Mytilus edulis: one gene and its partner. Each later gene encodes a partner of the first gene's protein in a complex. Links are inferred from orthologs where the notes say so. Each region holds a gene or a part of one and is shown on either strand. Other genes may lie near its edges.

Region 1 (7,124 bases):
TATTCGTCAACAACAATGCAAGAATTAAAAAATATGACTATTTAGTGCAAACTATACATCTTTTTTTTATCCAAAAAATGTTACCATACATTGGCACTTTAAATTACCCGCCCTTTACCATTCACTCAATATTTACAAAAACAATACAAGACAAATTGGGAGCAAATAGAAAAAGATCTCACTGAAACATACAAAGAACTTAAACAAGATCAAGATAAATTAAATCTTGATGAACTTTGGAACACGTTCAAAACCAACATCCAAAAGTCTATTACCAAGAATATTCCAACAAAAAGCATTGGTAACAAATCGAAACTACCTTGGGTAAATTACCAACTTAAAAAGCTCATCAACAAGAAAAACAAATTATACAAAAAGAAAAAGAAAAATCCTAAGTATAAAAAACAATACCAAGAGATAAAAACCAAGCTCCAGAAAGAAATGAGAAACTCGTACTGGCAATACATAGAAAACATGATTTTCGATATTGAAATAAAGGAGCCAGATCAAACATGCTTCAATAATACGCCTAAAAAACTGTACACCTACATTAAAAGCCAGAAAAACGAAAACACTGGCATAGCTCCTCTACGAAGTGAAGGTACACTGCACTCAAGTCCATCTGAGAAAGCAAATATACTTAACAAACAATTTCAGTCTGCTTTTACATCTGAGGCAAACACTAACATTCCAGACAAAGGTCCTAGTAAACACCCTATAATGGAACCCATTAGAATATCTAGGGATGGTGTTTACAAACTAATCAAAAACATAAACCCGAATAAAGCAACTGGTCCTGACACCATCGCAGGCAAAGTACTAAAACAAAACATCGAAATATGTACAGATATCCTCACTTTAATATTTACAAGATCACTACAAACAGGCAAAGTACCATCTGACTGGAACCACGCAAATGTCACACCTGTATTCAAAAAAGGGGATAAACACAACACAGGCAACTATAGGCCTATATCCTTAACATGCATAGCTTGTAAACTACTCGAACATATCTTTGCAAGCAGCATGATGAACCACTTAGAAACAAACAACACTCTATATGAATTACAACATGGATTTAGGGCAAAACGATCATGTGAATCACAAATCATCTCACTGATACATGAATTATTCCAAAACAACGACAAGAACATACAAACAGATCTTATTATCATGGATTTTGCTAAAGCTTTCGACAAGGTACCACACAAAAGATTACTATACAAAATGAAATACTTTGGCATATCAGATCAAATCATTAACTGGGTAGACTCCTTTCTTTCAAACAGAACACAAACAGTACTTTTAGAAAACATGTCATCTTCAAAAATACCAGTCTCATCAGGAGTCCCACAGGGTACAGTGCTAGGACCGATACTATTCTTAATTTACATAAATGACCTCCCAGATTACATCCAACATAGCAAAATCAGACTCTTTGCAGATGACAGTATAATCTACCGACAAATTAAAACTCAAAACGACTGCCTCAAGCTTCAAGAAGACCTACATGTAGAAGCTGCCATACAATGGGAAAAAGATTGGCTTATGTCTTTCCATCCAGACAAGTGTAACATCATGAATATAACAACAAAAAGAAATCCCATCCACTTTTATTATAACATGTATGGACACATCTTAGAACCTGTAAAACATGCAAAATACTTAGGCATCACCATCTCAGCAGACCTAAAATGGAACACCCACATCCAACAAACTGCTGCAAAAGCAAATAAATCCTTAGGTTTCATCAGAAGAAACCTTAAAGTCCAATCGCAAACAATTAAAGAAAGAGCATACCAAACACTCATAAGACCAAAGTTGGAATACTGTTGTACTGTATGGGACCCATTTACAAACGAAAATATAAAATCACTGGAAAAAGTACAAAGACGGGCAGCAAGGTATGTGTGCAATAGACATCACAACACCAGCAGTGTGTCTGAGATGCTAGATACCATGAAATGGCAAACATTACAAGAACGCCGACTACGAACAAGGCTTATAATGTTCCACAAAATTGTAAATGAAAAGATAGCCATTCCATCGCAAAATGTATTACAACAGAGTCAGTCTACTACAAGATCCACCAATAAAGAATCCTACAGACAAATTCATTGCAATAAAGACAGCTATAAATTTTCTTTCTTCTGTCAAACCATCAAAGACTGGAACAAACTAACACCTGAAATTACCAAAAACAGTACTACAGAAAACTTCAAGGATGCACTCACACACGACGTGCTCCTTGATACTTACCCTCATCTGAAATAAACAGATACTCTTGTTTTTATCTTATACCAAAAAACTAAAAATAAAAAATGTAATATTTAAAAACTAAATAAAAAAATTGTATAAATTAAAAACAAAGAAAAATTGTAAAAATTGAAAATACGAAAATATATGACCAAAAACAACTTTGAATAAGAAATATTTTGTTAATTTATATTTTGAGAAAAATTATCAACATAAATTTATTAAAAAACATTTACCAGGCATGCGCCGGAAAGTAAACATCAGTACGTTGATGGTTTTCTGTAACAAAAGAAGAAAGAAGAGTAAGCTCCCTTTCACCACATGTGAGCACATTTTCATATTTTTTTTTCAGTGGGAACTTCAAATATAAATCACAACTTTTTGTCAAAAAATCAATTCGTGTTCGGTTTTCATCAAAAATAAATATTAAGAAGATGGTTGAATGTTCCGAGACGTTGTTTCTACAAACTGTGTTTTATATAAACTGATTTTAGTCGAAACCACCGAAATCAAACGCAAAGGCCCAACCTCGTCGGCCTCGTGTCTATGCTGGACACAAGCCCGGCAAAAACACTCAAACACTAACGCTACAGTTTATATTGACTGAATGCATAGTCAATAATTCAAAATTATATGTATTTTTATAACCTACAGGCTTTAAACTGGCTGACATTCGGGTAAATAGAGGAACTCCTCCTCCTGTTGTCAAACATAAAATGTAGGTCGCCATTTCGATGTAAGTTTAACATACGCATGCGCTTACTTACCACAACTTTAGAATGATGGGTAAATAGCATGGCGATGAAGAAGCTGTAAACAGCATCTGTCAAATTTTCGGTTCAGTATATGGTAAGTTTTACTTGATGACAACAGGCACACTTAATGACAGGTAAGTCATGTTTCATGTTAGGTTCGTCCCTGGTAATGTAAAGGAATTTTATCGATCAGGATCTTCATTATTGCTTGTTTATTGGAGCACGTGCCCGCAACGCCAATCTGCCGTTACTCATTGTTTTCACTGTATTGGCCACACGACTTGTAATCTTTTGACCCAAGCTGTTACAAATGTTTTCACACATTATGTAATTTGTTTATACAGCAATTACAGTAGTTTTTATTAATGACAGTTTGTGTTGATAAACAATATTATACTTTTATTGAGAGACAAAGAAATTACGCGCCGTTTATTATTAGTCATCAGTGTGTATACTATATTTACTCAGTTCAATAACAAAGAAATTTAAGCCGAAGTATCGATCGATTTTCTCTCAATTAATAGGTCCTTCACAAAAGCAGTGCCAACAAAATTTAATTTAACAACTTCATCTTACTTTGGTTCAAAGTATTTTCAAAGTCAATTGAATTTTCACGAAGATAACCATTTATTGACAAAAGTAATTAGACATTCAGAAAGTTATTTGTGTATTGCTTAGCTATGATATTGGTTCAGAATGACAAAGATGTGACTTAATGTTTCTTTGTGTTTCTTCATTAGTCATTCTCCTTAATTTATTCATGGAAAACTTCCAAATGGACCAATTCTTAACCATAAAATGTATTACATCCGTTTAAAAACACATTGGTTATTCTCATGATTGATTTAATTTTGATACAGAATTCTAATAAAAGATTGAAAAGAAATATTCAGTTGACAATTTCTAATGTCACATCAAGGCACTCAATGTCAAACTTATATGACTTTTAGATTGAATGATTTATTTAGCTTTAAAAGATTAAAAGAAAAGTGATATAACAATTTTTGTTTAGATTATTAACAAGTTGGGATCCCTGACACAAGTTTTATATTATTGTTTATAAACATGAACTATTTGAAATACTTTTAAACAACTGAAGTCCTTGTTAAACACCGTTTAGAACCTATATCTTCTCTGTTCTACTGGAGGCTGTAAAATATCCAAAATACAGCAATTTTAAGAAACTAATTTTATAGATCTTATAGCTTTATTATATTATTGTAAATAAAATGTATGAAAATCATTATTAGCATGATTAGGAAATATGTCATTTAATTTTAAAGCTACAAAACATAATTTTTTTTCAAACAAAAAAAATGAAAATTCAATTCAATTTAAATTTGGTTCAAATGATATGATTGTTAAATTAATTCCTCTGTCTATTTCATTAGGTTATAAGAAGAGTAACTGAAGTCAATAGTAAAGAACATCAAGTGAAACAGCTCGCATCAAAAAGGCAGCATCAAAGTTTTTGTACTTCTAAAGGTAAGTGAAAAAGTGAAAAAGATAATATATTTAACTTTGAAACTTCTTTTTTTTTCACAACTATTTTAAAAATTTGGAAACCATGCTGATCACATTGATTAAATTTGTTAGATTAGTGTCAACATGATTATAGTTCTTTTGAAATATACAATTATACCATTGTAAAGTATGCATAAACTGTGTCTTTGAAATGAGACAATATATTTTGTTGTACATGTATATATAATAAAGATGTGGGCAAGACATAAAATATTGTTAAGTATAAGTTTTTAGACAACAATAATTGAAAATCAAATAAAACAATACAAGGATCATTGATCAGATGGAGTGATATTGAACCAGCTTTTCCTTCTTATAAAGGAAAGCTAACTGTCATGAGTTTTTTAATAGATCATTTTTTAGATTCCTTTGAATTATTGGAATAAGAGGACTTTCCAGTCCAAGAGTATGACTTATCAAGATGATGTTGACAGGAGTTTGTATTGTTTAAAAATTTGTGTGATGCATGCATACATGTAGCTACTGTTTATTTTAACTTGCAGTTGATGAGTGGTCATTTGGTAATACTTGTGTATTCACATATTTGGAATACACTAGATAACAATTTTAAATACATACTACATATAACAAACATGTAAGTTATGTCAGAGTTAAAGTAGCTAAATATGAGAAGATCTGGTATGAGTGCCAATGAGACAACTCTCCATCCAAGTTAACATGTGTTCCTGCAAGTTATCTCAGATCCCAGTTACTTTTAACATGTGTTCCAGTAAGTTAAATGTCAGATCCCAGTTACTTTTAACATGTTTTCCAGTAAGTTAAAGGTCAGATCCCAATAACTGTTAACATGTGTTCCAGCAAGTTTAATGTCAGATCCCAGTAACTTTTAGCATGTGTTCCAGCAAGTTAAATGTCAGATCCCAGTTACTTTTAACATGTGTTCCTGTAAGTTATGTCAGATCCCAGTAACTTTTAACATGTGTTCCAGCAAGTTAAATGTCAGATCCCAGTAACTTAACATGTGTTACTGCAAGTTATGTCAGACCCCAGTTACTGTTAACGTGTGATCCTGCAAGTTAAATATCAGATCCCAGTAACCAAATATGTGTTCCTGCAAGATCTCATGTCAGAAGATAGTAACTGTTAACATATGTTTCTTCAAGATCTCATGTCAAATCCTAGTATCTGCTAACATGTCTTCCTGGAAGATTTGGAAAATTAAAATGGATAAGGCCCAGATGTCTGCAAAAATAATGCATTACACATCACTACATGTCTAAGGAACATCACTTGTATTACAAGTAATTAAGGAACTGATACCTTATGTAAGATCATCATAAACATTTGTTTTAGAGACCCTGACAATAAAATTCAGGCTTATATATAGCATTGCAAAAAATAGAACAGCATATATATAATCTCTGTCATTGTTAGGAACTTTGACTACATATATGATACAAATTATGGAAGATTTTTGTTTTCATTTTTAAGTACTTAAATAATTTAAATTCTAGATTCAAATGAATTTGTCAAAATATTAATTTATTTTGTAAAATAAATAAATTTTATTTTATTTTATGACAAATATACATAAATTTATAAAATATGCATGAAGTTCAAATAATGGTCATATAAATGATTCACAAAAATATCATGAATCATTTATTTCATTGATAGTGAATTTTTCCATTATTTTATAAGAAATAAAATATTATAGCTATAATTGAGAAACTAGAACAGATGGGAGCTGCAACTGTGGTCTTTTTTATTGATATACCCCAAAAAGTAATTAGAATTTTACACTCAAGTATAATATCCACTAGCTTTTGTTATGGTGTATAAAATATGTCATATATTATTGTTCAAAATGAAATGTTCTGAATTAATAAAACATAAATTAGAATTTTTCAATAGTGTTTATGTGTGTATAGATGATGAGATGTTTGCTTTACTAAATGTTGACCTGCAGTGGTCAGTGTTTAAGGGTAGGACACCCCGGTCAGAGGGTCAGTCTTTATAGTTGTTACAGTGGCAGGTGCCCCATCCTATCCAATCAATAAAAGGAAACTGTATTTAATTGTAATAAAATGGGTGTATGTCTATATCTCAAAGCCATGTTATTTCAAAACTTGATTTATTCTGATTCCTTTGTGTCAAGTCTTTCAGCCACATAATTAGTCTTGCATAAATCGTTGGAGCGTAAATGTTTGATTACAAGCCTTATGTATAATCAGATGAGAAATAATATAGAAACCCTGACAGATTTGTGATAAGTTTTTGATGTCTTTGTTTAATTACATTTATCCAGAGTACAGCATTTAGAAATAGGTGTCCAGATGGCCTGGTACGTGACAATGTATCTCTGTCCTCCTGAAGTTTCCATGGAGTTTCCAGCATGGAAAGTCTATATTTGTAATGATGATGCTGTATTATAAAGTGGCAGATTCTATTCACAGACTTTTATCATAATTGATAAATATGGATGTGGAAATTTGAAAAGGCTACAGGCATGTTAAAATACAACATGCTTGCTATAGTAATTATTACTTCAAAATATCCAACCTCATTAATTTTTTTCTGTTTATCTTAAAATGAAAAAAATGAGAGGGAAATTCCTATTTATATTTG
Region 2 (7,392 bases), on another chromosome or scaffold:
TATCATTCAAACTGATTTAATTTGAAAACGAGTGCATGGACCCCTATTTTTTAAAATGACATTTTTTTTGTTTCACTTTGCAGGGAAATTATGTATGTGGACCAAATTTTATAAAACTGTAAATAGTGCAATTTTTAAAATTTTGATAATTATACAGCAAAAAATTACATTTTTTTCTCAATTCTTGACCATTTGATAAATTATAATTATTTCTGAATAAAAAATGCATAAATTTTCATGATATTTATAAAATGCAGAAATTACAAACTATTTAACAAACAACAAATTGTGTTTATCTTTTAAAACAAAAAAGTTATGTCTTTAAGGAAAAATACGGCCACAAATCTGAGTTTTGAGCAAATATATAAAATTTCAACATCATTTAACTCAAAAAGTAGCACATGAAGGTATATTTTTTATTACATATTTGATTCAATCAGGCAAAAAATAGCCTATATGGAAATTTTCATCAAACTTTAAATATGGGATCAAAACTGTATCGTATGCCCTTAACTAATAATCTTCTAGCTTAAAGCATCAATTTTACAGAGTACATCCTTAAGGAGGCTCGAGGATACAAAAATCTCAGCAAAATTTTAAACATTTTTTTTTTCCATACAAATTTTATTTATTACTTTATTTGTTTTTACTTTATCATATGGTTCAAACATCAACCATAAAAATCAATTCGTTTTGGCCCCAGATGACTTTTAAAATGCATATATCATTGAAAAAGCTCCAAATTATCTTCCTTTGGTGCAAAAATGCCATCTTTTAGTATTAAAATTGAAATATCTTTTTTAACTCATCTGTGACCTATATTTTTTTGATTAATTTCTTGGATTAGGCTGTACTTAAACGAAACTATTGTAACATTTCAGTGATTTCTGTAATTTAGTTCTTTTTTTATTCAGATATATTTCTCTTATTAGTTCAACAGAAAAAAAAGTACCTTTACGAAAATGTATGCAGATTGTGAGCTTAAATGAACGGTGCCCCCAATTTTTTATTTTATTTTTCTATTAAGTATACTATAAAGTTTATTTATATAGAAAAATGTTTCAACCAGTTGAGCATTCTGCATGATTGTTGGTTTAATGCTGCTAAAACTTATCTGCAAAACGACCTTAGAATTGCGTATAATTTTTCGATAATTAGTGATACTAATGAAAAGGACTCAAAGTTTTCCCTCTTACTGCTTCTAACTTTCTCATGATTAAACAACATCTTGCGTAATGTCTTCATTGTTTTTTATTTAGTTTTTCAGTGAAGAAAAAACACATCTATAACTACTTGTATCCCCGAGGAACCAGTAATGACGCACCTAACGTTGTGTTTGTCTCTGCATTTAATCTACCATTTAAAAGAAAAAGAAACACGGAATAGAATGAAAGATTGATCACTTGTTAATGTATTTCAATCATTAAACAGTTGATTTTTGAAACAGTAAAAGCAATAAAAATCATGTTTGCTAACATTACAAACGGACTGTCAACTTATGATGGGTACCAGTAATGACGCACTATAAACAAACCAGTAAAAACCACTTGCAGTGTACCTGATGTTCGAAAAATTGCTTCAATCCGGATAATTTAAAGTTAACACTATTCAACAAATTTAATTTTAATAACAAATTTTGACATTTACAGTCACTTTTATGATCATGTTGATAGCAACACAATTTTTTTCATTAATTTAATTGTAACCTATATTTTATTTCAAATTTTATATAAAATTGTTCAAAATTTATCAAAGTGACATATATATTCCATATACTTGAAAATAAGAAGTAATTGCATTCATAAAACAACATTGACATTAAAACATTTATCAATGTATACTTCGTACAATGAATGAAAAAAATCGATAAACAATAGAAAATTATATAAGCGACGATCATTTGTTCTACAGTGATTCCCGCTTAAATGTAAAACCATGTCACATGACAGTCATATGATTTGAAAAACACAAACTGGGGCAGCATGTGCATACATACTTTTGCCGGCCAAAGTGGATTTAGGACTGATAATCATTCTGGGAAGGGTAGACTGTTTTTGACCTTAATAAAATGGCAGAAATTGCATTATCTTTACTAATTCAAGCAATAATAACATTTCTGGACAGAGTTTGAGGCATCTATGTTGTAGTCATATGACCTTCACCATCATGTTATGAATAGTAATTATCGATGACGTCACATCTTTTGTTTAGAAATATAAAACCCAAAACTAAATTGGTGCGTCATTTCTGGTCCGCGTCAAAACAGGTACCAAGACGATATATCAGAGATACAGCTCCATCTTTTAATAATGCTAGCAAGAAATTGGTTTGGTTGACTTTTTAATCAACAAAGATTTGTATAGGTACTAGTGACTTCTTAAAATTAACCAATCGAAAAGAAAACTAATCAAAACAACAGTCTAAGTCATAGAATGTTGAGAAAACCCTAAAAATAATTAGAAATAGAAAGATCATTTATACATTTTTTGAATAGTTTTAATATATTCATATCAAATATAATTGGATGCCGAATTGACTTTAAATAGGTGCCGATTTGAATAGATGCCGATTTAACCAGGTGCTGATTCTTTTTCTGTGGGTCCCGAATAATTTTGATCGGGTGCCGATTTGACTTGTACCCGTAATGCCTGCCTCATATTACCTGCCTCAAATTATTTAAAAATATACTGAAAAATAAACTGGTTTGATCTTTGGAAATTTATGCTAACTACAGCTTACTTGGGTATACGATTAAATTGCATTATTTTGTTTCAATTATCTAAATTGTTTTAAAACTTTCCTGAAACCATGGACGCTGACATTTTGAAAATGCTAAAACCCAGAGTGCATAAATTTTTTCTTGACTCTCTAATTAACGCAATTATATTTTATATTCATGTTTTATAAGAAGGAAAAATCAAACCAGAAAAATATGGAAACATTAACATGTTTTAAATAAACGTACAAAAATTACGTTTTCTAGAATGTGTAATTGGAAAATGTTCCTGTTATTGATTAGTTCTCATTGACCCCAAGGGTGAAGGTTAACCGGTCTATTATGTAAACAGTAAATGTTGCATAATTAAAATAACGTTTATTACACGATTAAACGTTCATTGACACCTAAATGTTGGCATGAGGCCTTATTTGTAGAAGGAAAAATAAAAAGTTTAAACATTTAACAAATGTCAAAAGAGAGGTAAGGAACGAATCATAGTAAAATGTCAGTTGACTGTGTAAAAGTTGATATGGAAGGTAGGCATACTTCATTACTGAATTTGTTTTACAGCACCAGTTAATATAAAAAAAATGGTAGGATAGTCCAAATAATTTTGACTCTGGCAAGGCTTTTTTTTTCTGGGACGCCTTCCGATGACGTCATAACGCTAAACCATTTTTATACGACCACAAAAATTTTAATTTTTCGTCGTATATTGCTATCACGTTGGCGTCATCGTCTTTGTCGTCGTCGTCCGAATACTTTTAGTTTTCGCACTCTAACTTTAGTAAAAGTCTTATAAAGCTGCGCCCTGCGGAGCATCTGGTTTACCTCTGGACTTAGAGAGCAAATTTGGGGGAACTTTGCCACAGGTGCTTGAGGACAGGATCCTGTATGAGCCCGATATAGTCCCTCCCCCTTATTATCATAAATCTCAGATTTTTCGATATATATCACTTATTTGTACCATATATATATACTAATATACCATATTTATACTTTAAATATATATATGTATGTTTACTATCAACGTGAATCTCGACTATCGCTCTATAGTCGAGATTCACGTTGATAGTAAACATGCATCATACGCTTTCGGGACGATCTCATAATTATTTGGACTAGGGGTAGGAATGCCCTTTACACAAGGTTGGCAAAAAAGCGGTCAATACTAGTATTGACCATGCCAGTGGTAAATACCGGTATTTACCGGGAAATACTGGCAAATACTGGGAAATACCGGCAAATACTGGTCGATTGAAATTTTGAGTGGACATTACTATAAAAACCACTATCTACTTGGTCAATTATAATTACAATTAATAATTAATTTATATAGAAAGTGTTCAAACCATTTTTAATGCTTTCATTTCTAATTCTATTGTTAATTCAAACAGGTATCTACATTGATTAATGTGTACATAATATTATAGTAAAAGATAAAAACTTTTTGTTCATGCTTCAAATTTTCATTTCCAGCATGAAGAAGGTTTTTTTTTTTTATCTCACAGTTAGATAGCTATAAACAGGAAATAATTTATTGTTTAAGGGAGTCTTCATATATCAATTTTATTACTTTCAACCCATGTACTGTCAACTTTTATTGGAGGCTGTTGTTTTAGTAATTAAATTTTCACACCTAGCAATGCCAGGTGATAGCTATAGGTAAAAAGACCCATGTAACTTCATTTACCTGTAGTTTTATTTACCTTTAATTTTAATTACCTGTAAAATCATACATTTTGAATAAAAATATATTGATTTAAACATGTTGAAATAAAATATAAATTTGTATATATATATATCTTAATTATATAAGTATGCAATATCATAATTCTTAAAAACTTAATTTTAAATCAGTAGTAAGAATAAGTGTTATAAATGAATAAAACATATCAAATTCATTACCTTTATAAGCTGACACATTATATTTGACTTTTTATCAAGATTTTACTTCATTTAATAGTAGAAACAACCATGAAAATTTCAATTGACCAGTATTTGCCAGTATTGACCACTTGGGGAGTATTGTCCAGGGCGGTAAATACCGGTAAATACCACTGGTAAATACCGGGGGTGGTATTTACCGCCCAACAAAGGCTTTACTGTCAGGCATTGACTTCAAGGGCATCGAACGATCATTTTTTCGGCTACCGCTAGCATCAAATTGATTAATATTGGATTTGTCAGAGGTCTCAAACATGTCAAATAATTATCGTTACTGCTATTTGTGGGGAAAAAATAACACGATTCTACAAAATCAGTCAATTTTTTCTTGTCTAAAAGAAAGTGTACATTTTATTATCATCTACCAAAAATTAACGTTAACTTCATTTGGCAAGATATTTTACTGTTATTTGTCATGAAGAAATACAAATGCCTGTGAAATGCCATGTCTGGAAAAAAATTACTGTGAAATAAACAGTTACACACATACTTTATAGATCAAATGAAAGGACTTAAATTGTTGGCACTGTCTGGATACATGCATGAAGTCATATATATTATGTATTTTTGAGATTATTTACAATGACCATGACAACACATCATATGAACAAATTAAACATGCTAATTGATAATAAATTGTCAAAATTAGGTCATGTACTGACACTTAGCCTTGACTTTTATATTGATATCCACATTTTAGTATATTGGGCATTTGTCATAGACTCATGCTTGTTTTGCAAGTCTTTATAAACTATCTTTTATGTTGTAGGTGCTGAAAAGATGACGAGTAAAAAGAGGGTTCTTATTGTTGGAGCTGGGGCTGCGGGAACTGCAGCTGCTTACAGTTTATCAAAACATCCAGAGAAATTCCAAGTAGAAGTCTGGGAAAAACTATCAGTACCTGGAGGCGTTGCCTGTTCTAGCGATATTAAAGGAGATGCCTTTGTTAATTATGGGGTTCAAGGAGGTACACCATCATACAGAAATACTTTGATAATGATGAAGGAGTTTGGATTTAAGACATCACCAGTACATATGATGATATCTTTTGGTAAAGGGAAGACTCATTGGACAAACTATGCAAAGTCACCCCTGACGGAAAAGCTGAAAAATGAAATCAAACGTTTCGAAGATGTCTTGAAGAAGATCAACAGATTTGAATTCTTTTATATTTTTGTTCCAATGTACAAAGTATTAAAATGGAATGGATTTTCTGAAGATTTCGCAAATGAAATGGTATTTCCACTCACTGCTCTTTTCTTTGGAACAGGAAATCGTACTCCATATGTGTCGGCGGCAATCATGGCTAGAGTATTTTTAGATGAAGACCTACGATTATTTGATTATGACTCAGAACTTCTGTTAAGTCAATCCCCAGAAATGTTTGCCTTTCCAAAGCTAGAACAAATGTATGAAACCATCTTAAGAAAAAGTGGTGTGAAAATCTGTTTGAATCGACCAATAACTTCTGTTAAGAGATATGGGACCCATGTCACTGTGATTGACCAAGATGGGAAAACTGCTACATTCGATGAAATCCTGTTTGCATGTGATGCAGAAACAGTTCTCAAATTGTTGGAAAACCCAACCTTCTTTGAAAGAAAAGCGCTTGGCAATGTGAAATATTATAATGATTTAATTCTAACGCATGAAGATGATAATTACATGAACAAACATTATGAGGTAAACAAAAACAAAGATCAATACTTTGTCAGAACTGATCCGACAGACCCAGCCAAAATAGAAATGTCTTTCAATCTATCCAACTACCAACCACAGCTGAAAAATTCCAACAGAAATATATACCAGACAATATACTTAGACGATAATTTGAGAGAGAAATACTGGACTGTAGATGAAGTGAAGAAGGATAAAGTCTTACTTGAGACGTGGTGGAGACAGTTCTCTCATTCCTGGACTCATTTTGCATTCACTGTCCCCTTGATGAGATATCTCCAAGGGAAGAAACATACATGGTTTTGTGGTGCTTACACGCTGATTAATACTCACGAGATTGCAATGATCTCTGGTCTTGCTGCTGCTCATCGTTTAGGAGCACCATATCCATTTCATCATGATCCATTAGCTGCCAAACAGTTTGATCAGTATCTATTAACCATACACGGCAAACCAAGGAACTTTGGGTGTAACAAAATGACACTATTGAGTTGTATCCTAGCTCCATTGATGGCCCTTTTTGCACTTTTTTCCCTCTTATTGAGGTTTTGTTTCATTAGAAAGTCATAGCTTCTTAATGAGAAGATATTGTAATAGTCTATATTATAGTTTAAAATGTATAGTACAGACAGTTGTATGAACATTTACACAAGTGTGCTATACATGTATACAAAAATTAGCATATATTTATACATGTCATCTAGTACTAGTTGTACTACACAAGTGAAGCTGAACATGTACAAATGTATGTTTGTGTTGTGTAAATACACTTCCTATAATAATATATTGCATTGCCTTCTTCAATCAAAACCTAATAAATAATTGGTACTCAAATTGGTTACAGCAACAATAATTAATAAGTTTTTTTCTGTATTTCAATATTTTTTAAAATTCTTAAAGTTTTTGTTTTTTTTGTAAATGTTTATTAATAAATTAATACAATAATCATTTGACATTTCTGTATCATAGTGTATGATAGTTTCAAGGTGTATGGATTCTGTTTAAAGAAATTGTTCTAAGTTAAACTTTAAAAGATTTTTCTGTACATA

Evidence for each region.
Region 2: the proteins of protein fuzzy homolog (region 1) and ciliogenesis and planar polarity effector 2-like are in contact, whole or in part, in a cryo-EM structure (PDB 7Q3E), measured with the Mus musculus proteins. The link is inferred for Mytilus edulis from reciprocal best matches to the Homo sapiens genes FUZ and CPLANE2. Residues at the interface, in NP_081652.2 of Mus musculus: Arg26, Arg35, Ile109, Val110, Lys126, Glu127, Arg129, Ala130, Tyr132, Cys133, Asp136, Gln215, Ala216, Ala217, Arg218, Asp219, Tyr220, Pro221, Tyr223, Pro232, Leu238, Thr239, Leu240, Leu241, Arg242, Pro255, Leu256, Gly257, Gln258, Pro261; in NP_001074643.1 of Mus musculus: Glu36, Gly38, Leu39, Leu40, Glu41, Arg42, Val83, His84, His85, Glu86, Thr88, Gly89, Ile90, Gln91, Thr92, Thr93, Val94, Lys124, Phe125, Met128, Glu134.

What each region holds. Positions count from the first base shown.
Region 1 is NC_092350.1:12,395,321-12,402,444, reverse strand, and holds the start of protein fuzzy homolog, read right to left. Parts: upstream 3,017-7,124; 5' UTR 2,987-3,016; coding exon 2,909-2,986; intron 1-2,908. UniProt on the Homo sapiens protein: Probable planar cell polarity effector involved in cilium biogenesis. May regulate protein and membrane transport to the cilium.
Region 2 is NC_092356.1:43,878,152-43,885,543, reverse strand, and holds the start of ciliogenesis and planar polarity effector 2-like, read right to left. Parts: upstream 3,018-7,392; 5' UTR 2,966-3,017; intron 2,840-2,965; exon of another isoform or gene 2,740-2,839; intron 1-2,739. Other genes in the region: uncharacterized protein, read left to right, coding at 3,222-3,255, 5,436-6,913. UniProt on the Homo sapiens protein: Required for efficient primary cilia initiation, regulating a late step in cilia initiation. Plays a role in the final maturation of the mother centriole and ciliary vesicle that allows extension of the ciliary axoneme.